Linked DNA regions of Drosophila melanogaster. Changing the gene in region 2 together with the main gene of any one other region gives a genetic interaction. Each region holds a gene or a part of one and is shown on either strand. Other genes may lie near its edges.

Evidence for each region.
Region 1: of Rab21 (region 2) and mtm, changing one suppresses a phenotype caused by changing the other (phenotypic suppression), as found in Drosophila melanogaster (one study listed by BioGRID).

Annotation. Positions count from the first base shown.
Region 1 is NT_033779.5:6,029,341-6,042,513, forward strand, and holds mtm (myotubularin), read right to left. Parts: upstream 7,676-13,173; 5' UTR 7,472-7,675; coding exon 5,938-7,471; intron 5,883-5,937; coding exon 5,557-5,882; 3' UTR 5,391-5,556; downstream 1-5,390. Other genes in the region: CG9109 (uncharacterized protein), read right to left, coding at 1,964-2,519, 2,984-3,137, 3,454-3,586, 3,982-4,249, 4,399-4,535, 4,591-4,983; CG9117 (uncharacterized protein), read right to left, coding at 7,789-8,475; CG31643 (uncharacterized protein), read left to right, coding at 8,863-10,603, 10,668-10,947, 10,999-11,273, 11,329-11,524, 11,584-11,791; Pfas (phosphoribosylformylglycinamidine synthase), read right to left, coding at 11,974-12,671, 12,735-13,173.
Region 2 is NC_004354.4:23,006,356-23,017,516, forward strand, and holds Rab21 (Rab21), read right to left. Parts: upstream 7,055-11,161; 5' UTR 6,940-7,054; intron 6,910-6,939; exon of another isoform or gene 6,781-6,909; 5' UTR 6,752-6,780; coding exon 6,688-6,751; exon of another isoform or gene 6,627-6,687; coding exon 6,022-6,626; 3' UTR 5,785-6,021; downstream 1-5,784. Other genes in the region: Coa7 (cytochrome c oxidase assembly factor 7), read left to right, coding at 7,227-7,326, 7,464-7,753, 8,098-8,508.

The DNA.
Region 1 (13,173 bases), on a different chromosome or scaffold from region 2:
GCGAGATGATATGCGCAACATTTTTAAACCGTTTTCGCTGAAGTCCAAAGCTGCTGGAGTGGAAAATGCGAATCAAATAAAGTGTAAGCTGATAATCATAAGGATGCGACATAGTTAAGTTAACATTAGATGGTTCTACATTTCTTCATCGAAGAAATCCATCTAGAATCCATAGAAATCCAATATAAAAAATCTCATATAAAATTCCACCAAATTCCGTGGAATCTTTCAAGATTCTTCAGCTGGCGCAATGAACTCCTGAAAAGGAGTACCTTTTGGGTTTCTCCCAGTGAGTCTCAACCAAAATCAACTGGAAGGGCACACTCGCCTCCATTCACATGCGGCATTTAAGCAAATTAAATTTGGTTTTAAATTCAACTTGTCGCAGTACGGTCATGTGGCTGCTGCAGTTAACTTTAGCTCGAGGGTTGGGGTTTCTCCTGGTGTTCATTGAAAAATCCGCAACTAATTAGGACGAGAAGGCTGCACGTAGTGGACAGGAATTCGGATACGACAGCATCCTCTGCCGTGGGCGAGATAAGCTACTTCGAGGGGGTCAAGTAAACAGGCAGCCACAAGGATAAATTAACAGCAATTCATTGCATTAATTCAACCGGAAGCGGAAAAACACAATCCTTGTATCTGTACTTAGTAATATCTTTTTGAAATGAACGAGTTATGAACTTCATTATCAATTCTGTCCAAAAGGTGGAAAAACATTCATTGTTTGCTTTATTTGGAGTCATATGATTTTCATTTGTATATCTAAGTTCCACTGCCAATGCTCAAAGCCAAATAAACAATTCCTATAAGTGACAAAAACTTTCACGAAGTCGCTTATTAATTCAACGCCAATTAAATACCGACAATTTTGACTGTCAACAAACTACATAAACTAACCAATTGACTCATTGTTTTCGCCTATTTGGAAAACACCTGACATTGTTTCGTGGCTTCGGTGACCTGTGAAAACTATTGATTAGTCCTGAATAATAGATGCATTGGGCGCTTTAAAGAGGGCCAGATAAGTAAGCAGACATGGCACTTAAAGTACTCGACTAGAGTTTCCGCTCCGTACAGATTGACCCCTTTGTTTATCCGAAGGATACGCGCTGGGCGGATGGCCGAATGGCGGTACAACGTGGCCACCACCCAAGTGCCATGCCAGCCATTCGAAAAGTGCACTCAAGCGTAAACTGTTGATGCCCTCGAAAGTGAAGTATTCAGCAATTCGTCCCTTGAAGCCTCAAAAATTTGCATTTAATGAGGTCAAAGTGCGGCCGAGGTGCGAAAAAATGTTGATTTAAGCAGGTACTTTGGGCTGCGATGTGATTAAAGTGTCGTCGAACGGAATCGAATGCAAATTATATGCATTGCGTTGCTGGGAAATTGATCTGTCCACTATACTAGTGGCAGGTTTTCACGGAAAAGTGGCATATTAAAAGTGAAAGAAAGGTAGCAAAGCAAGGTAGTTCTTTCAACCCAAAGATATAACAAAGATGTGATTTAAATTGCTTAGCTCTTTAATCCAATTTAAGGATCGCTTTTCTAGTCCTGCATTAACCTCTTTGTGGCAGTAATGTCACTGGCCAGATTCACTTTTGAGCTGCGTTTTCTAAGCTGCCCTAGAACGTCTCGAATCTGTGTCAGCGGAAAATGTCCCCGAAATGCTGGAAAATGAATATTTTCCAAGCCCAAATAACGCCAAGGAAAATCGCAGCCACATTTGAGCATTTCTACTAATTAAACTGACACGAAAGCCGCAAAACAGACGAATGCACAGAGTTGCGACTAAACCAGTCCCAATTTTAATTTCGGTCTATAGAAAATGAGAATTTGTGTGCTTGGCAGCCGCTTGATGACTGCCAGCAGATTGCTTTTCTGGTTTGCCCGCCAACTTCTGTTCAACTGACTCCGGCAGATATTGGCCCATCAGCACTCACCCCACTCACCTCAGAGCGGCTCAGAGATCCAGGTGCTTGCCCAGTCCCGTTTGCTGCAGCAATCCAACGCCTGCGGCCAAGGAATGTCGCCCCATCGTCATGTGGAGTGGTCCGGCAGCGGGCTGCTCCTTGTGTGCTGCCAGCGGGGCACTTCGGTTGACCATGCTGCCACCGAGCCAGCGGCGGTAGGTGTGCTCCGGATCCGTGTTCCAGAACTTGTGGAAGGTCAGCGGCGCATGCAGTTGCAGCAGTTCGCCGGCATAGTCCTGCGGCCTAGCCTGATGCATTCCGGCAACGTGTATCGCCGGCACGCCCAGCGCTTGGAGGCAGTAGCCCAGGATCATGTCGTCGGGGGCACTGGCACTGGGACAACTGCAGCGCTGCACGATGAGCCGCACCAGCGGCAGGCTGAGCACGATGCCGGCTCCTCCAGTGTGGTAGTTGAAGCCGTCGGGAGCGTGTAGCCGGTAGCCATAGCGCTGGCCCAGGTACACCAGCTCCGTGGCATTGTGGCGGCAGAGGAGGGCGCTCACGCGTGGCACACTGGTGGGCAAATGGGTGTGAATCAAATGAAGGCTACCCGATGAACCGGGTATATCAATATAATCATTTTTAATTGAATGCGCCGTCATGCGATTGAGTCGGAAAATATAATTGGAAACGAGAGAGCGGAGAGTCTTCGACAAGCCGAAGTTGGAATACCCTTTCGGTGGAGTTTATGAATAATGAAGATTTCGACTTTCAGGCCGTAAAATATATATGAGGGAACCCACCAACATAAATTATCATGAGAGCTTAAGTTTCAAGTTCAAAACGGATCGACAATGTATATACAATCTACTTTATAGGGTAGCAATCGCAATACACAGTGCAAAGCTGGCTTTACTTAAATAAATTAAAAAAAATAAATCTCGGATCAGCAGCGGTCTGTAATAATAAGGCCATCAATTCATGGAGTTGGCTATTGAACCTCCGAGGAAGTGGCTAATCCAAAGTATCCCCATTCATACCTATCAATCAATCTGTAAATTGAGTCTCACCTCAGCAGCGTGTCATCATCGACGAGCATAAGCCAGCGGATGTCCAATTGCTTGCCGATGTCCTTGAGGGATAATTGCAGAATGGCCATTGTCTTGGCACAGTGTCCAGTCTGCACATTGGGTATCCCAGTGCCGATTGCCGGAATGCCGACGTCTGTTGAGGTTTTCGTTGGGGCAGAAGGAGCAGGAAAGTCGGAAAGACGGAAAGTCAAATCAATGAATATTCAATAAGTGGACTCCTCGCCACCGGGCGCTGCAGGGGATTGGGGAATTGGGCTGGGAATTTCGAGTGGTGAATGGCCAATCACGCTGGATGAAATTCACTGTTTGCCCAGCCATATATGGATGATATGGTTGTGTGGATGTGTTTAGTCAGCCTGTCACTGTGTTTTTGTTGGTGCACCGCCCGCTGCTCCTGATCCCCCACCCATTCGGTTTAATTGCCCGCTCATTGTCATCGGGGTGCTCACCTGCCACATCGCTGTAGTATCTCCTGTTCCGGGCGTCGGCTGCCCAGGTGCGCTCGATGATTGGTATGCGTTCCTTGTGGAATTTCGCACAGGTTTTGATGGCGAAGTATATATGCGATCCTGTTGTGTGCTCCTGCTCGTCCGGTTTTGGGGTGGCCAAAATACGGCAGTTGCGGAAACGGAGGGTTTCAGTTCGGGGTCGATAGACAATTTATGGTTATGGAGGTTTCAAATGCTAATTGCTCGGGCTGAATCTTGAATCTGCTATCTATATGTATGTGGGTTTTAAATTTTAAGCACTCAATGAACTTTGATTTAAAGGTTTGCTGTCCGTTTTTAGATAAGCATATCTCAAACACAGGTGTCTCAAAAAATAGTACTGAATAGTACAAACAGGTAAACTTAAAAACATTCATGCAAAATAACGAAATTTTGACATTTTTGCAAATACCTCATCTTAATCAAAAGCCCCTTAGCATGATATATGATTTTGCTGCAACAAGGCATGCCAGGCATAAATAAACTTACACAGCCATTTCTCCGCTGCCCCAAAGTCAGTGGCTCCTCCGGCTGCGCATGCAGCAGACAAGGCAGTTTCCTGTTTGGCACGGACGTGGGTGTGGAACATATGTAGCTGGCACTTTTCAGCAGGATTCCTCCGGAAATCGGGGTGCTAATATGCGGGTCGGGCGATACATTGTCGAAAATAAAGCGAGCCAGCTCGTGAGAGGCATCAATGGAGAAATCGCTGTGAACGGTGATGTTTTGGCCACTAGGAGCAACCAGATCCGCCAACCTGGTAACAAGTGATTCATTCAAGAATGTAAAACAATGTTCGAGTTACCAATTGTCGAGACACATTTCAAATACTTAAATCAACTTATCCCTTCTTTCTCAATGCATTTGTAATAACTTACTTTCATATGCCATTTAAAAAGGACTTACCTTCGCAACAGAGCACCAGTGAAAACGACTCCGGCACTGAGCATGGGATATGGAAACCGCTGGGGATCCTTGTAGTTCGAGAAGTGGTGGATGATGGTTGCCTCCGCATCGTAAAGGGCGTGCCCATAGAAAGCTAGCTGGAGGAGGCACAAGGATATAGGACACAGTTGTGGCCTCCAGTGACAAACTCACCTCCCTTGGGTTCTGGCGACGCAGTTGCTCGAGCAGGCCGCGCAACGAAGACACACGCGTGTTGTGTTGACACCATATAATCCATTCCGTGCGCGCACCCAGCACACGTGCCTGGGCTCTTAGATGAGGCAGTGCGTCCAGCATGGTCCAGGAGTTAAAGAGCTCATGCATCACATGGACCTTCAGGACAAAGTCCTCGGGGAAGATCCCCGCCAGTTCCAGTGCCCGTTGCTGCTCCAGCACGTTGTGCGATAAGGCTAAACAATCACTTCTGGCCTGCTGAGGATGCGGGGGACAGGCGATAACCAGGAGCACCTCTCCTGGCTTGTTACTACCGCAGCATAAGCTTGCGAGGCACAGAAGCCCAAACAGCACACATATCCTAGTAGGCATAACTAATATCTATTGCGGAACTCTAAGAGTTCCGAACGCATTTCCTGATATTTTACAAACACCTGCCCTTTTCCTACCGGAAATCGGAACACGTCTGTCCCAATGAACGTGCGATGTCGTACTGAGGCAGCTGTGATTTAATTTTGGCGCAAAGCCGAAATGTTTTGTGTCCTGTGGTGTCAAAAGTGGGATTCGGGATTTAACGTGCGTAGTCCAACGCGCAGGCGCCTCTATGAAGCGGTGTTTATGAATGAATCACAAGGAGCGTGCAACAGTTGGTCACCTGTTTAGGTATCTTTTTGACATCCAAACTAGTTTAAGGCACATATAAAAGTAGCTCCACTGAGCTGCGAAAACGCTATACGATTTGAACTATATGATGTTATTCATGAAATAATTAAAACATTCTCAGACATTTAACACTTTAATTAGATTCGATAATGTGGTTCAATGATACAATGTTGAATCGACTAGTTTTCCATTTAAGAAAAACTTTTATTTGGAATTAGAACGTAGTTCACAATACGTGCACTACATATGCGTACAAGTAGGGGGAATAAAAAAGCAATACTATTAGTGCATAGGCGAGGCCAGTCGCGTAGTTGTCTGCATGCTGTTGCTGCGGTTGTTCGACTTGAGCCGCAGCTCGTTGACGAGCTTAAAGAGCTGGTCCTGCTTGGATAGCAGTTCGCGGGTTCGCTGGCAGCCATGCTGAGGAGCGCACAGACCAGGATTCCAGCGACAGTATAGGCCCTTCCACAAGCGGACCGATCTCACGCTGGCAATCGGACGCAGCACTAGCTCGGCGCCGTGCGTGAACGAGGGAAAGAGTGGATTCAAATACTGGTCCAGCGACGAGTTGATGTGCGTCCACAGGGATGTTGTCTTGTGCTTGAGATCTACAATAAATGTGAAAATTACTTCCAAGCCCATGCAAACAGCAATCAGTCTAACCTTCGGCCACACGCTCGGCCTCCGTGTTGCAGAGGAAGGTGCCGAAGCGGCACGAGTACAGATGATCCACGATGGTTATCAGGAAGTGCTCGTTGAACTCAAATGCGTTGTTGAACTGCTGGCTAACCTGCCAGACGCTATCGATAAATTGCAGGAACACCGGAGATCTGTCTGCATCCGAGTGCTTGTTGTCGCCGTGACCAATGCGTTGTTGGAACTTGTGGCCAAAGGAGAGCCACTCCTTCTCAATGAGAACCTCGAAACCGCGCACTGTGCGATAGTGCGGATCGAGCAGCAACATGGAAAGAGCAGTCAGCTGGGCTGTGCGATCCCAGCCGTCGGAGCAGTGAACTACGACGGAGGTGCTCATGGTCTCCACCTTGTCAACAATCCTAACGGCGCCGGCCAGGATGCACCTAATGTGCTTTAGCCACAGTGTGTTGTCAATAGCCGTCTGCCACTTTGAGTCGTCGGTGGTGGGGAAGCAAGCCTCCTTCACTTTGCGTAGGCTCTCCCGCATCACGTGGATGTTGTGTATGTCGAGGAAGTTGATTTCCACGTTCTTGTACGCGTCCTCTGACTCGTAGCCGCCGCCCTTGGCCTTGTTAGCAATCGCATTGGCGCTTGGTCGCGCATCCATGATGGTCAACTTGTCTGACTGGGCGTTCGCCTCCATGATAAAGCTTAGGTATGCTTCATCGTCGGAATTTCGCTTGCCACTTACACCCACCAGCGGCTGGGAACACCTTGTAATGGTCGCTTGAGTCCGTGGGTTCATCCAGGACAAAACCGGCAGGCGGCAGCGCGATCGGAACTGTGCCACGCGCCTCAGGAAATCATCGGAGGCCGCTTTGGGCACAGCCCACACGGCCGGATAGCTGTCGCAAATTGCGTAGGACTCGTTTAGCTTGGTCGCCCGCCACATATCGTTGGGAACGCCCAAGCGGCGCAGCTCCGCCAGCGGTTCATATACCGCCCAGCCGTCCCAGCCTCCGTTACCGTTCACAGAGTTGGCCGCGGCGTGGGCGAATGCAAAGAGGCGCCCACTGTACGAGAGCGGAAAGGCGTTGGCCTGCAGTTTCTCAAACACCGTCCTCCGCGAATGATTCTGCTGCTTGTGGGCGAATCGCAGGTTTCGCATGTCCTTGCAGAAAATCTCGATGCCGTACGAGTTCTCACCGCGAGACGTGGCACCTCCAATCTTCTCCACACGCGCGATCACGCCCAGAGGCACGTCGACGACGACGGGCGGCTCCTGATCCCGCAGGGGAAGCGACCGGAAGTACAGACGGTAGTTGGTTATGGTAAGAGCGCCGAAGACGGGGCCGCGGTACGGACACACGTAGGTCACGTCGTTCTTCTGGTCCTGGTCCTCTTCGCCCTCCAGATAGCCGAAGGGCGTGTCCCGCAGAATGCCGTTTTCTCCGCCACCGTGCTTGGAGCCCAGCGAACTGGACTTGGAGCTGCTGTCCAGAGAGTTGCTGCTGGCAGTCTTGGAGGCCAACTTGTCGGCCAGGCTCGCGGAGGGATCCATTTTCGGATGGACACGAGTGGTGTTTGGCTATTGTGTTGCTGGTTGCAGCTGTGTTTTCTTTTCCAATTGTTAGCTAAATGCAATTCACCAAAACTCATGCAGCAGTGCTGCCAACTCACGCAATATAAAATCATCTGGAATAATTTCCCATTCCTCCGACAAAAGTACCAAAGGGACATTATGTAGTGGCGGAAAATTTGATTTTTATGTATTGGAATTAATCAACTTATTTCAGACATTTAACTGGTAATCAAGGAAAGCTAGAACAATTCCGCTTTTAAAAAAATCTCTAACATATGTATTTAATGCTTAATAAATTAAGTGTTAGAAGTGGCGTCTTCTTTAAGTTTACAGCGCATTGATTGTGTGACAGAAAACATCGGACCATGTCCTGGGATTATAAACTCGCACAGTTGTGCCATTTTACTGCGCTCCTCGCGCTGCACCTTCTCGTTTTCGCTTCCAGCGTCCATCCAAATGTTCTCATCGTCGATGTCCTCGCGACGCTCGAAGAGATCTCCGGTGATACCGACCCGTCCACCCAGCTGGGAATTTTCCACAAGAACTGAAACGCAGCTGAGGGTGTGTCCTGGCGACCGCCTCACTACCACCTCGGCATTCGAATCTAGGGCCAGTTGCTCGTCTGGATTACCACTACCAAGGTGGTCCATGTAGAGGTCGTGATGTGAGGCACATGCGCCGACCAAATGCATTCGTGCCTTCTGAAACAGATAGTTGCAACCGATGTGGTCAGAGTGTCCGTGAGAGCAGACCACCACGTGGATGTCATCGACGCCTAGTCCCTGCTGGCCCAACAACGAACGCAGGTGATCTCCATCCCAGGCCGTCAGTGTGTCCACGATTATGTTGGTGCCATCCCGGCAGCGGACCAGTGTGCATGTGCAGTTAGCCCGCATGGCGGACTCGTCTCCTTCTTCTTGGCGAGAATAGCCGACCTGGAGCACGGTCACCTGGTTTCGTTGCGCAGGATCAGTGTATGCCATTGTTTAGTTGTTTAACAACGATAACGCTCTAGCCTATTAAATTATTTAGGGTCAGCTGCTTATCAGCTGTTGCTTACAAACAGAAATGTCAACTCGTCAACAACCTGTTGAAAACTAGAGTTGCCACTATGAAACTTTTGACGAAATAAACAAATTACTTACGAATTAAGTAATTACTTATCTAACTTGTATACCGCTAATCACAGTTCAGAAATTATTTTAAGTTTTTTTTTACACATTGATTCCATTATTGGTTTCAGTATAATGGAAATTAGGATTTCATGGCAACACCGACACCAGCTGATCGCCAAAAATTCACTCACATGTTTATACGGCGTAATTTTGTTATTATTCAACGATTTCTGAATAAGCGTGAGATAAAGTGGCATGTATCTGAACCACCTGCCGCGGACACAATGGAAGTACCTACAATACCTTCTGCGAGTGCGTCAGCTTCAGCTCCTGCGACGGCACGTTAACATTGGCGCAAAGCCGCCCATCCAAACAGCTGCCTTGCTGCCGGCATTGGGCCAAAAACTGAGGAAGCACTCGCAGCTGGTGAACGGAGATCTCCAAGACAAGTTTGGCGTGCCACGGGAACAGGATGCTCTTCTAACCCGACTGGAGGAGGCCAAGACGGGTAACCAGATTTTAGATGTGTTGGAGAGCTGTGACGGCCTGCAGAGCTCCCATGTGGTGATGGGAATCTCACTGCTGTGGAACATCTATCACGACGCGGAGCAGGCAAGTAAAGATGCCATCACGGATCGCGTGCTGCTTAACGTGCTCCCAAAGTTGGCCCCTTATGTACACCAACTGGAGATCGATGATCTCAGTAGATGCTACCTGTACCTGCGCAAAATGCATATACCAAACTCCGAGGCAGTCGTGGAGGCCGTGCTGACGAGATCTCTTCAATTAATCGAGTCACAAGTTGATGACGAAGTCATTCCCTTGACCTCCTTGTCTCGCCTCTCGGTGGGCATCAACTTGGAACGCGACTTCTTCACTCCGCTTGTGTGTAGGAACTTTATTCCGCACCTGGAACATCACATCAATTGGTGTCGCAGCGCAGAGCAGGTTCGCCTTCTGTCCACGTGCCTCTTTCAGCTACACTTTCTCATTGATGAGGAGCTGTTTACGCGCTTCAAGTTGCGCTTGACTGAAATGATGCAAAGCGGCGTCCTCAGCAGCGAAACCCCTAAGGCTCTTCTGAAGGTGATCCACATGCTGAATATTCCAGTGTGGTCGCAGACCCACACCCAATTGATTCGGGAGGTCATGCTGGTCTTGCGACCTTGCATACACCAGATGGAGTCTGCAGATCTAAAGAGCATTTGTCGCACATTTTTGCATCATCAAGAACCCGCCGCACTGATAGAGCCGCTCAAGAAAGCCCTTGAAAAGTTACTACAGGAAGAAGGCACTGCTGACGCCCTGTTTTGTGCAGTTCCCTTTGCAACGCCACTGCAGAGAGACCAGTATCTGCATCAGTTTAAGGAACTGCTCTACTCCGAAGAGGCCTGGCAGCAACCCAATGCGAGCGGACATTTATTCAGCGTTCTGCGTGCACTAAAAGTCTCCGACATTGAATTCTGCAACACATACTGGTCAGGAGTTGTAAAAGAGCTGGAGTCCTGTCCGGAAAAGCATTTGCACCTACGGTTCCTGAGACACTGTCAACGCTATATGAACTTTAATAACAATCTGGGAGGAACCTACCGTCACTTAGAACTGGAACGAAAGCTAAGTCGCATGTGCATGAATGCTATTGAGCATGACATAGCGGGAAGGCTGCCAGCGAAGTTCGCACGACTTGCATCCTTTGTGCTAGCTTACGGGCAGACTCCGTTGGCCTGGAAGAAATTTCCCAACTTTTTGTTAAGCAAAATGCTCGCAATGGCGCCCCAGCTTGGCATTCAGGATTGCTTTCTCCTCAGTCGCGGCATGCAAATAGCCAGCGAACTAAGGTTTCGCCAGCATCTTCCGGCATTAGCTGGCATGCAACTGTCCACAATGGACAGCATTCTCATCGGTTGTGCGGAGAGGCACTTGAGAGATGCCGAAAAGGACCCTCTAAATGCCAGCGAATTGAGCATGATTGTCAGAACACTCAGTCATCGCAAGAGTAAGTTGATAACTTTGGTTCATTTGAAATATAAACAAATTTAAACAATTTTATCCCTTTACAGAGCTAAAGAATACGGTGGTTTACAACCAGGCCCTGGCGCAGTACAAAAATCTGCACTGCAACGATCTCAATTCTCGGGTGGTTCGGGACATGGCCTACAACTTCAACGCTTCGAATTTCTTTGTTCCCGAGCTCCTGGAGTCCATGTTCGCCTACATTTCCGAACAGCATGATCACGTTTCCGGCGACACAGTGGAGAAAGTGTTGACCTGCTCGTATAATTTGGGCTACATGCCAGCGTCCGTGGAGGCTCTAAACCACGCCTCCGAAGTACTGCTAAGGTGGGCATAAACATTTCTTGAGGCAGATCTAAAATGTAATCTTTCCATCAGAGATTTTGACCAGATGAGCGGTTTATCGGTTGTCCAGGCTTGTCTAGCACTGTGCTTTTACAAATCAATACCAGAGCAGCTAATCAATCAAGTATTCTGCGTGAAATTCATTCAGCGAATCGAGGATGAGATACAAGTATGCTACTCAAAAGCAACGTATCCGGAGAGGGTCCTTAACCTGGTTATGCAACTGAATCGCACAGTATGCCTGGACTTTCCCGAGGCGAATGTGCCCTGGTTTCAACAAAACTACATCGAGGCGCAGATCAGCAAAAGTAACATATAACTACAATTCTGTATTAGGCGTTCTTTATCATATTATCTTTTTAGAATCCTTAATACCCAGTGAGTCCACAACAGAGGTGAAGCAGCTGCTGCATCAGCTTCTTCAAAATGACAAGCATTTCCGCTGCAACCACACTACACCCTACGGCTACCAAATAGACTTTGTGATACATTTCGATCGGGATAAAAATCCCATCCCAGCACCTCCCGTGGAGGCAACCATGTTGGATCGCATAACCAAGTAGGCACACAAATGGAAGTTACCTTATTCAGGTACTTCATTAATGACTCCAATTTCAGAGTGGCAATACTACTGCTCAAGCTCGACTCTTTTTGTGAAAACGATCTGACTGCATTGCGGGGTCCTGAATCTTTGAAGATGCGACATCTAGAGATGATGGGCTACAAAGTGATGCAGATCAACGAGCACGACTGGAACTCCAAGTATATGGCGTCATCAACAGCCAAGGCCAACTACCTTAAATGCTTGTTACAAATTTCACATTAGCTTTCATTTCTATTCGTTGCGACGACATTACTCATAAGTACGCTTATTTGAGTTTTAAAGTTGTTTGAGTGTTTAAGTTTATTTTATAAAAATAGTAAACAAATTCGTGTATATAGTATTTAGATATATCAGGTCATAAATGCCAAGAACCTATTTAACTGCTTTCAATTCATCTAGAATATCTATTGATTCGACTTGACACACCAATTGTACGCGTTGTTAAACATAATCTGCCAAGGACTTTCCGATTGTGTGGGGGAAACTTCGAATGAAGATGGCACATAGGGCCACTGGTACATGGAGGAGCATCGCTCGGGATGTGGCATGAGGGCCAAGTGACGTCCATCCGACGAGCAAAGGCCAGCAATTCCCTGAGGACTACCGTTCGGGTTAAGTGGATACAGTTCCGTCGGTTTGCCTACATCATCAACATATTGCAATGTCACCAGCTGTTCCGACTGCAAGTGGCTAATGAGCTTCTCGTCGCGGAATGCAAAGCGACCTTCGCCGTGAGCCACCCAACAGCCAAGAACCAGATCCTTCATACTTCCGAGCATGATGGAGCGATTGCTTGGAATCTTCACGGTGGCCCAACGACACTCGAACCGCTGCGATTTGTTATGGAGCAGGGCCACGTCGGGATCTGCGCCCACCTCGCTCTTTGCACTGCCAACAAATCCTATAAGTGTCATCAGCTGGCAACCATTGCAAATGCCCAAGGAGAACACATCTTGACGACGCTTGAAAGCCTCAAACTGAGGCAACAAGCGGGGATTGTGGAGGATGTTTGCTGCCCAGCCCTTGGCGGATCCCAAAGTGTCCGCATAGCTGAAGCCGCCCGGGAAAATTAGTCCGCGGTATTGGGACACGCTTGCGGTGCCTGAAATATTAAATTATTTGCTTTAGTACTTCCCCCTTTATTAGAATTTACCATTGAGTTTACCTTGAAGAAGATCCGACATGGTCACATCGTGCACCTCGAAGTTAGCCCTCAGCAGGCAGGCCATCATCTCGCGCTCACTATTGACACCCTCCTCACGGAGCACGGCCACGCGAACTGGGGCGGAGGATCGCTTGAGAGTAAGCTCGGCCTGCACATTCTGAGGTCCCCTATACTGAGGTGCTTGGCGATACTCAAGGCTATTGTACTCTGCCTCGGCGCACTCAGGGTTGGCCTGAAGCTTTTCCAGCTCGTAACTGGTTCTCTCCCATTTCTTGTAGAGCACACGGAGTGGCTGGTCCAGCAGCTCTGACTTGCCGTTCTTGAGTACCACTCTGGAATCCAGTCCGAATCCCTCGGTCACGCCCAAATAGTAGTTTGGTACTCCTGCCTTTTCGTAGGTAGATCGAACTCGTTCCAGGTCTGTGTCCAGGACTTCCAC
Region 2 (11,161 bases):
CAGATAACACCAGAAACACCTATAATGAAGTGATCGAAGCAAAATTGCAGTGCCGACCAGAGGGTACAGATGTAATGCTCAAGTGCTATTACAAATCTCTTGGATCATACAGCGCAAAAATTAATTAAGTTGCAATCTGATGTTTTCAAGCAATTTCCAGATATCTTTATAATCAAATTAATTTGCAGCTACAGATTTGATGGGACAACTGGTCATAGTGCTTACAAGCAGAAATTTGAAACTGAAGCACTTGGCACACCAATTTCTGATCAATCTTTATTTTTAACTTCTGTCATACTTTATTTATTATGTAGAACTAGAAGAAGAAGAGGGCGATTATTTTTAAAACAATACTACACACATACAATACACACTTTTATTAAAAAAAAAAAAAACAATAAAATTTCGTTGACCCTGAGTCATACCAGTTGTTAATGTGGGGGAGGCAAGAGAGGGCGTGGTCGCACAAATATTGTGGGCAAACTATTTGGGATTTAACAACAAAATGTACAAAGTTTCAAGTCTGTAGCTCAATTTTTAGACTTTATGCCAAAAAAATCGAATTCTGGACCACAGTGCATTGCAACACAGTATTCACTAGTGTTGTGTCGTTCGTGAACGAACGAACTAAATTTAACTATTCCCCAAACTGAACGAACGAACTAGGTCTGTCTTTATAGTTCACTTAGTTCAATATAGTTGTAAACTCTTTGTTATTTATTACTTATTATTATTATGTATAACTGTTTTTGACATAAATTTTAATGTCAGCATTGTATGAGATAAACTCATAACATTTATTGTGAAGCACCTTTAAGCAAGCTTAAAAAATGAACGATTGAACTAAATGAACGACCTAGTTCATTGATTTTAAACGAACGAACGAACCTATTCCCCAAATTGAACTGGGTTTACTCAACACTTCAAAATACTCAATTGAATCACAACCTGTGAGCGGTTGTAGCATATTTTAGAGCTAAGTGCTATTCAGATTGCCCCAGCGACGAGTCGGTTTTTAGATAAGTAGTTTTACGAATTTCATGTTAGCTACCTAAGCTAGGAATTATAAAAAATAAGCTCAGTTTTAAAATTTGGCAATTTAAATAAGTAAGAAATTAATAATGTGAATCTCGAATAACTTTATTTTCTGCTGAAAACTTTTATTTATTTAAATATATATTTTAAGTTGGGAATGAAGTACGAACAAATATTTTTAAAGTGCAACTTTGATGTATCGATGTATCGATTGTATTTTTCTAAATCGATAGCATTCCAGCTCTGCATGCATCTATCTTCCCACGTACGATACTACTTATCGCTAGGCCACATCGTTTTTTGACAATTTTGCGATTGCTGGGACTTGCAAACATAACGATTCATCGATATTTTTCTTGAAGCACTTCACACAACACTAAATCAACTGTGATTTCTAACACAAAAGAGGTAAGCAAGCCATTAAACAAAAGCAAAGTCTAGGTAAAGGACCAAGACTAAAGGTTTGGATGGTTTTCATGCAGTCGTCTGACCTACTGTGAACATTTAAACACACACACAGAATTCTTCTACCTTTTATTGTGGTAATTATAGGAATTTTAATCATCTTTTACATTTACATTAACTCGTTAAGATTTATGCCGGTAGTGCATAAACTTTGGACGTACCCGAACTCGTACAAGACCATCTAAGATATACTGGCCAAAAAACGAAAAGATTATATTCATATATTCTCCAGAGAATGGAGAGGTTCATTATCATTATAATCATCAGATTATATTCATACTGCCTAGTTTTGTCCCACATTAAACCTATATGCTTCGGCTTTCTTATGTTCAACAAAGCTGCATAATACTTATGTATTTAAATACACAATCGATTGACAGAGCAACAAAAATTAAGCTGATTGCGATATAGAATAAAAATCGAAATATCTCCTTCAATTTTTTAAGAAAAACAAGCGAGTCAGCTAGTTTATCTGTTTTCCGTATGCCACAACACTGGCCGAATTCAGACTGCAATTTAAGAATAGTTTTAAACAAATCTTTGTGGTTTCTAGCTAAGCATTATGGACTGAATGTTATCGCAGCTAATCACATTCAGTACAATCTGCAATAGTTTTAAATTTGATTTGATTAAATTTAAAAGACGACTTCAATAAAACAATTTTATACATATTTATCTCCACGTTCTCCACTAAAACGTAGGGAAAATTTCTTGAAATGAAATTTAAGTGATTCAAAATGATTTGCAGTAAAAGTTGACAAGCACGAGATGTAAAGTCTTTGTTCAACATCCCTTTCGAATTTCACATTGAAGTATACTTTTACTTGGAACTAAAACGTTTTTTTTTGTTAATACGAATAAGTTATACACCTTGTTAAAATACAAACGGTCCAAGTATTTTTTTTTTTTTGTTTGTTTTAAAATAATTCCCAACAAAATACCTATTTACATGCGTAAGCTGACCTTCTCCCACTTAAGGCAAATGCGGGAAACTCAAAGTGCGTCTCTCTCATTTTCGATTTTCCTGTGTTTCTGGTTATCTATCTCTTTTTAATGCGCGCACAGTTCACAAACGTATTCGGCTTTGCAAGCGGCAACTGTTGAACCACCAGGATTGGATATCGTGGTAGAACTGTGTCTTGTGGCCAAATGAGGGATCATGGAGCCTGGCGCAAAGGTCGCAAAACGGGGAGCTGTAGGTCAAGCGGTAGTGGCTGCGCCACCAGAAGTAGCTTACATACAAATCCGGATCTGCAACCACAAGCTTCATATACTGGGCCAGACCTTCCACGGACATGAAGCGATTAGCATCGACGTACGAGTGCGGAGGCAGGATGCGGGAGTAGTCTGCTCCGCCAAAAACCACGGGTATTACGGTCCGTTCTAATGCGTCGAAAAGTTTCTCCGTCACGTAATCATCGCACAGCGAGTTCTCAAAAGCCAGGTAGAAAAAGTAGTCAGTGTCCAACATCTCGGCGCAGTGCGGATCCCCCCGGGTGCAGCTGAAATATAATTAATATTTAGAAAGTAAGCATCTGCGTTTAAAAAACAAGCAGTTTGCATGCCTACCGGTTGCTCCCAACTTAAGGCATTTCATTAAACTTGCGTTCTTTAGTTGCAAGCTAATGAGATACGAGTAAAGAATTTGCGACAAATAAAAACTTTCCATCAAGCGGCAAAACTACCAAAATGAATTATCTGAAATTTCTTAGACATTTTTTTTAATATACATATGCACATAAAACCACAGGGAATAACAGCATCAGTTTCTGCTCAGCCACTACATTTAATGGCTCTGCAGGCTTAGCGAGCGACTTTAACATACTTTTGTGCAGTGTGGCATTGTCATGCTGCGGGGTCATGAAGCATAAACTTTCACGAACTTGAGTGCAGATATCATAGTCTAAAAATATGCATATGCTTTTGGTATGTACTATTTAAAACTAATTAAGTTTTTTAATCATTTACTTTTATTGAGAGCTTAAGAAAGCTGCATGTGCATTTTGCATTATAATTTTGTTCAGCTAAAAGGTCCTCACCTGAGTGTTCCGCAGTTTCCGTAAATGTCCACTTCAAAAAATTCTTGAAGCCTATTGGCCAAGACCTCCCTTTTCGACAACGTTTCACAATGAGAGACGAACCAGGCGGCCGTTTTCGTCTTCCCCGACCAGAGGTCCCAAACCAGAGAATCGTTAAAGGCCACAGGAGGCTTCCTCCAAGGTGGTTTCACACTGGGCGCCACCACGGCGTCCGCTGTGATGTCCAGCAACTGCCCGTAGGGCCAAAATACATCCGAGTCAATGCGATAAGTCATGGTGAGGTTATAAAATCCTTGTTCGTCGTCCAGCCGGCTTAGTCTCCCCAGGCGGTTCCATCAATGCGAATACGTAGACCTGGTGGGGGCTTCTCTGGGAGGGCACTGGTCGCAGGAGCGGAAACATCTCCGCCGCATGGAATACAATGGCATCATAGAGTTCCACTGCGGGCAGGAATGCGTTTTGGTTGCTAATCTCGCACTGATAAACAGGACAGTGGAGCTCATCCCGCAGCTCCTGCGGTCCCAAAGTGTCCCAGGAAAGCTTCCATCGCGAATCACCAAAAAATTCTGTCCAGAGGAGAATGGTACGGGTGGATTGGATATACCGCTCGTGCTGGCCCCTTAAGTGATCTTGCAGGATTTTGTTTTGATTAAGGAGCGGTGACTGAGTGACTTTGTGAAGAACCACTAAGACACCGAGTAAGACAAGGAGGAGCAGCAGGAGAGCGCCGCGCGGCCCACAGGCCAACCGTACCGATCGAACAGCCATCGACATGTGCCCAACTCGACCAGATAACAACCCAGGTACTTCGAAGCTACAGTGAACCCTCCCTAAATACATAAAAAAGATGGCGATGGATTGCTTACGTATTTATGAAACCAAATTACGAATTATATACAATTGATAGAGACACACAAAATTAACATTCCCCACGGCATAAGTACGCTTGATAAATACCGATTTAAACACCTTATATAAATAGCTGAGTGCAACTTGTTGGCCGCCTTCACTGTACCAATAGCCGTAGTTCCCTGGCGAAAGGTGCGAACCCGATAAGGCAGTCCATTATTGATTGCCGGTCCGATATGTTCTTGAAACCCAACTACCAAACATACATAGCTCACACTCCACCCTGGCTGGAAAAACATTGGGCTAGATTAGAGATATCGTGCCCTGTAGCTCCACCTCCTGGAATCAAACTTCTGGCTCTCGCACTTCTCACATGGCCCAGGCAGCGCTTCAGGAACCGAGTTAGAAGAGACAGGACTACTAACTGAAAGCTAAATGGAGCTCAGAATCTGAGGTCGCAAATCTGCGAAATCTGCTGGACATTCGACTCTGGTGTAGGGACGCGAATTTCATCATTTCTCTGGCATATATATATGTATATAGATATTGGGGAATAAAATTAGAAGAAATTGTTTGATTGTTTAAAATATGGGCGTGACCGTTTTGGGTGTTTTGTAGGTGTAAGGAGGGGCGTGGCAAAAGTGTTTTTGGTATACCGACAGAAATTGGTAAAACAAACAATAAAACCAAGAAAAATCAAAACATTTTTCAAAAGTGTGGGCGTAGCAGTTTTGGGAGGCTTGTGGGCGTTAGAGTGGGCTTGGCAGCATATGGCCAACAATCTCGCGAGGCATCTATGTATATCTCTAGGACAGACGGACATGTCTAGATCGCCTCAGCTATTGATTCTGATTAAGAATATATGTATATACCTCATATAGTCGAAAACGCTTCTTTCAGCCTGTTGTTCTGTTCTGTTACATACTTTTCAACGAATCTAGTATATAGTATATCTAGTATATACACCACGAGTAACGGTTATAAAATGGAAGACTATCATATATGTACATACATAGCCCGAATATTATAGATTGGATATATTCTTAAATGGGTAAATACATACATATATGTTCGTTCACTTTTTGTTATAACAAAATAAAACTAGAATACTTATATATGTAACTAATTGTAGCCGAAAACAGTTTTGAAATTGGATTTCAATTAATTTCATTAATAGGAGAAGCTGTTGCGATGATATGATCGTTACATAAAATTATGAAAAAATATATAAAAACTTTATGTATTGTCTTCTATTGCACCATATATTTAAAGTGCCGTAAACTGTAATCTTGGTGCGGTTTAAAATTAATCACCTATCGCCTTGCAGAGCCATTAGCACCTCAACTGATAACGATGATTCAGCCCGGCCCCCAAAAAGCCTCAAAACAAGATAAGTGCAAGTACAAGATTGTTTATTACTGGGCGCTCAGGAAGGGCAAGAAAATCGAATGAAATACATATTTATATTTATTAATAAACAAAAATGTGTGAGGATTTTAAAGATCCATAATAGGGAATAATAAAAATACGCGTATTTATATTTATATCTATCTATGTATAATATATACACAAGATCAACATCGGTTAAAGGTCTACTATTTTATAGTTATGATTACTATCACAATGGGAACGGCTAAATGCCGCAACAGGACCGCTGGCCCGCAGGATCTCCGGGATCCGGGGCCTCCGAGTCATCGGAGTTGTTAAGGTTATCCGTATCCGGATTCTGGAGGCGAAGTGGACTCGCATCCGGTTGCCGTTGGCTCAACTGCTCCAGCATCAGCTGGGTCAGGAGCTCGAAGAGCTCAGCCACCCCCTCGTTCTCCTTGGCCGAAGTTTCTACATATTGAGCGCCAACCGTGCGCGCATATTGAAGGGCCTCATCGTGCGTTACTGCTCGCTGTTCCTCCAAATCAGTCTTGTTGCCGACGATTATTAAGGCAATCTCCGTGCCGCGCATTTGCCGGAGCTCCCGCACCCAGGATTTGACCTTCTGGAACGAGTCTCGGTCCGTTATGTCATAGACGAGCAGGGCGCCATCGGAGCCGCGATAGTAGATGGGTCCCAGGGCGTGGAACCGCTCCTGACCAGCCGTGTCCCAAATATTCAACTGCGCCCTTCTCCCATCCTCCAGGGACATCTTGCGGCTGACAAAGGAAGCCTGCAGGGTGCTTAGGTGCTGGGCATTGAACCGGTCTTCCATGTAGCGCAGCACCAGCGACGTCTTGCCCACACAACCTACAATTAAGGGGTTAAAGCTTTCAGGAACTAATTAGGTTTGTTTAGCTGCTAAACGTACCTTCGCCCAGCAGCACCGCCTTGAAATTAAGCGTGGGGCCGTTCCTCGTTCTGCTCGAGCTCATTGTGGTTTCCCAATAGCTAGGTGTCCTACCTTGATACGCATCAGTTTTCAGAGGACACGGAAAAACAAAAAAAAAACAAGAGGTAATCGAAAAGATTAGGTTTTTACGAGACCGCCAGTGTGGCTGTCTACCAGCACTATTGTAATGGCACTCGGCGATAAATGTTGAATAAGCGAGAAGTCACATACGTATCTGGCCACACTGCGGCCTCAAGCAAGGCCGAGAACTCAATGTCGCCGCAGTCATACATGAAAGATAGAAAATACAATTAAGCGATTTTAAATTAAACCATGTTTTAATTATGAGCAAAATATCGATGCATAGCCTAACATCGATATCAATAAAACCATCGAATGTATGCAGTATGGTGTCGATGAATCGATATTTTGCACGTTACTAACACTGAAGCACGCAGGGGTCCGGACGAAGCATAACATAATAATTTTTGGTTGTTATCTATTAAAAATTGCTGACCATGGCCTATGACTTGAAGAAGGAGTCAGACGTGAAGGAGTACGTAGAAAAGCTGGGCGTGGAATATCGATTCGGGTGCTATTCCGAGAAGAAGCCGGAAGGTGAGTGCGGCGGCGGCAGCGATAGCGACGGCGGCAAAAACAATTGAGGTCTATAACCTCCGATGTGCGGGAGGACAATTCGCGGGGCTTGAAGACATTGCATTTATGAGATAGCTAACTGGCGTTCTGCATTGCAGCGTGCCACTTGCTGGGCGACTACTTGGAGGGCATCAAGAAAGACTTTGAAAAGGCCTCCAAGGTGTACAAGTCGACTTGCGACGACTATGGTTACGCAAAGTCCTGCTACAAATACGGCAACTACAGTTTCCTTGGAAAAGGCAAGAGCGGTAGCAAGGGGAATCCACAAGTGGCCTACGAGTACTACGAGAAGGGCTGTAACTTAAACGACTCGGACGCCTGTCTTCACTCCGGCCTGCTGCTCGTTTCAAAGTCCATGCCTAGGGAGATCGACTGGAATGTGCCCAAGGTAAAGGTGTCGTATGGCGATCACGGTCCCAAGCCTTCAATAAAAGGCTAGCTCTTGGAACTGTTCAATTTGCTTAAAGTGCAACTATGTGCTGCAGTACATTCTCTCATTTGCCCCACCTGTTTCTCATTTGATCCTTGAAATCATAAGTCATTCGTATCGTGTCCAGATAATTGAACGTTTAATTGTAATTTTCTGATTATGTTCCAATGGATGTATAGACATATGTATGAATATAGTTTAGTTTGATCCAATTTAAAACTGTTCAATATGACCCCAGCAGAAAAGTGTTTAAATTTTATTTGATTTTGTGATTTGACATTATAATTTTACAACACCCGCAGGGCCTGGAGTTTCTGACCAAAAGCTGCGACTTGAACAACGCCACTGCCTGCTTTTATCTCTCCGGGATGCACATCTCGGGCGTGCAAAAGAAGGCGGATCAGAGTGCTGTCACTGCATCCTCCGGAAGTGGTACATCATCACCCCCCGCCGGACAACCGCCTTTAAAGGACTCCGACTATATTGTTCTAAAAGACATGAAGAAGGCTTTCCAGTTTGCCCACAAGGCTTGCGAGCTTCGCAATATGTATGCGTGTGCCAATCTTAGCCAGATGTACGCCCGGGGCGATGGGATCGAGAAGAACGAAAAGGAAGCGGAGAAGTACAAGAAGCTGGCCCTAGAAATGCAGGACGAGGTGAAGAAGCAGCATGATACGTTAGGGTTCCAGCAGGGCGTGGGCATGCCTAATTGATAATGCTTGATTCCTGATATTATCTGCTGCTACTGTTTTTAGACCTTGCTTCAGGTCAGGTCAGGTTTTTCTTTACCTTCTAGCCCTTTTCAGTAATTTTCAGTCAGTCTAATTTTGGTAGTTAAGCTAACTAACTTGTGTTTGAGATTTCTGTGTACATAGCTGGCACTTGCATGCGAAAGAGCGAGAAAGAGAAAATAAGTAACAATGGAAATTCCTAGATTTAATTGTTAAAGTTATTAAGTGATGATGAACCCTTTAAAAATTTTGTTGATACCTTATATGAATATACAAACAAGTCTTACCAAAAAAGTAGACAAAAATCTTCAGTTAATTGTGTTTTAGTTACGGTTGCTTGTGCACAAACTGTTGTTCTAATATTAATGTAAGAACCAGTACATTTTTCTGATCAGAATCGCCTGCTAATCCGACAGCCTCATTTTTTTTTTAAATCTAGCACATTATAACGTAATTAATCGTCTTGTAATATCTGCATGTCCTTTCCTCGAATACCTTCTCATGAAGATGTGCACTACATTCGTTCTAAAGAATGTAAAAGGAAAAATAATGTGATTCTGCTTCGTCCACAAGTCTAAAAAACTATTGCGTTTCTACACATACAAGTCTTTCAGGCGTAAAGATGTCTTTATAAAACATTCCCAAAATATTTTAAATTTGCAGCTAGAATATAAGTCGGAATGGAATCATATATGTAGATATGTAGCTGAGAGAAATAGTCGAAACCTTCGGGGTTTTTGATCAAAAAGTTATTTTTGGTTTATACAGTATATTAAATTTCGGCTGGAACTGGATCGAAATTGCTATATCTGCTTTTGGCTGGACCTAAATGAAAATTGGTCTACTTATCATATACATAGCTGCCATGGTAATAGTCGCACGAGAAATCCGAATTTCAAATTATTAAGGTAACTTAAGTTAAAGTTTAAAACAAATGTTCTTCAAACAATTTATTAAAATATGTGTATAAAATATTCGATTTTCTTTTCAAATTTCATTGGGATACTATACCAAAACGGTTTGTAGCGTTCGGTTAATGTCAGAGGCCATAAACTATTTAAGCATAACAATAGCTATTTCCTTTTAGAACCATTACTGCTCAAAGTATGAGGTATTCTGGTATTACTACCAACCAATCAAACACCTTAAATGCCTTTTTTAAAATTTTTATGTTAAACAAAAACAGCTTCTAGCAAGGTGGTAAAAATTTATTTTTCCTGGTAGCCAAAAATTCTAAAACAATAAGTACAATAATACCCAATTATTTGTCTATTAAAGAAACATTGGTTAAATGTAATTGTCATGATTTGTTTTCGAGAAATGGGCAAGATTTTGTTAACGGAAAACAATAATATTTTAAGCATATTAAAAAAAATTGTAACAAAAGTATTGACACAGGCGTCCCCGCCAAAGGAATAGGCAACACTTCGCAAAAATGTGGCTGTGATGAACTTTATGGGACCTCACAGACTCAAACTGTGTGCAAGTACTAAAATATCCCTGGTACGAAGGCCTTTTAGTGCCATTATGATAGAACTTTACAAATTCTTACAAATATTATCAAATTGTAAAATATTCATACGAATCATTAAAAAATTAATATGATAATTGTGTAATCTTGTTGTAAGGAATTTAAGTATGCATGTAAATGGTTCTGAACGGACTGTATCTATATACAGTCTGTTTGTGCAACACTTTCTCTGTGTTCATTGTCAGCTTGACCTACTGTCATTTCAAGAAATAGACGCTTTATTAAAAACTCTCTTGTCCAATTAGTTGCTGTTTAGTTACAATAAATGATAATAGCTCCTTCCCGCTCTATCTCACAATATTCTTTCATATGTATGTATGTACATATTTGCATTCACATACAGCTGCGGTTAAAATAATAGCACTACTGCAGGTGGAAAGTTCATTTCCTAAAAAAAATTATTAAATGTTTATATTTTTTAAAGTAAGTTTGCATGAATAATAAGTACCATATGTTGGCTCTCTGAACAAGAAATTTTTAGTCTCTCAATGTAACGGTTCTTTTTGTTTTTGGGCACTTGCTGCTAAAGTGCGCGAAATGAGGCGGTAACAAAAATAGCACTGACCACGTATTTACTGAATAAAATTAATAGGAGTGATTGCTTTGGGTTTTTTTTCGACAAATTTTGAAAAAATGAGTTGTATTAAAGGTTTTTATTGATTTTTTTCCAAACGAAGTCCAAAAATTCTCTAGTTATGGGTCGCGGAAAGCATTGTACCGTCGAAAAAAGAAATTTGATTAAAAACTTGATCTCTGAAGGTAAAAAATACGCTGAAATTGGTCGCATTGTCGGTTGTTCAAGTAAAATGATCCGCAAAGCACTGCTGTTTGTCGAAAAGAACGAAACACGGCGAAGAAAGCCCTCAATGTCCAACGTGGAGATCAAGCGCTTGGTTCGGCAAGGCAAGAAGGAGCCTTTTAAGCCGGCGACGGAACTCAAGAAGGAGCTTCAGATAGCTGAAAGCGTGGAAACTGTTCGCAAACGCTTAGGACAAAACAACCTTAATGCGTGCAGCCCAAGAAAAGTCCCGCTTTTGACTGTTAAGCATGTGGCAAAGCGAACCGAATATGCCAAGATTCCCAAGGACTGGGTTGTGGAGAAGT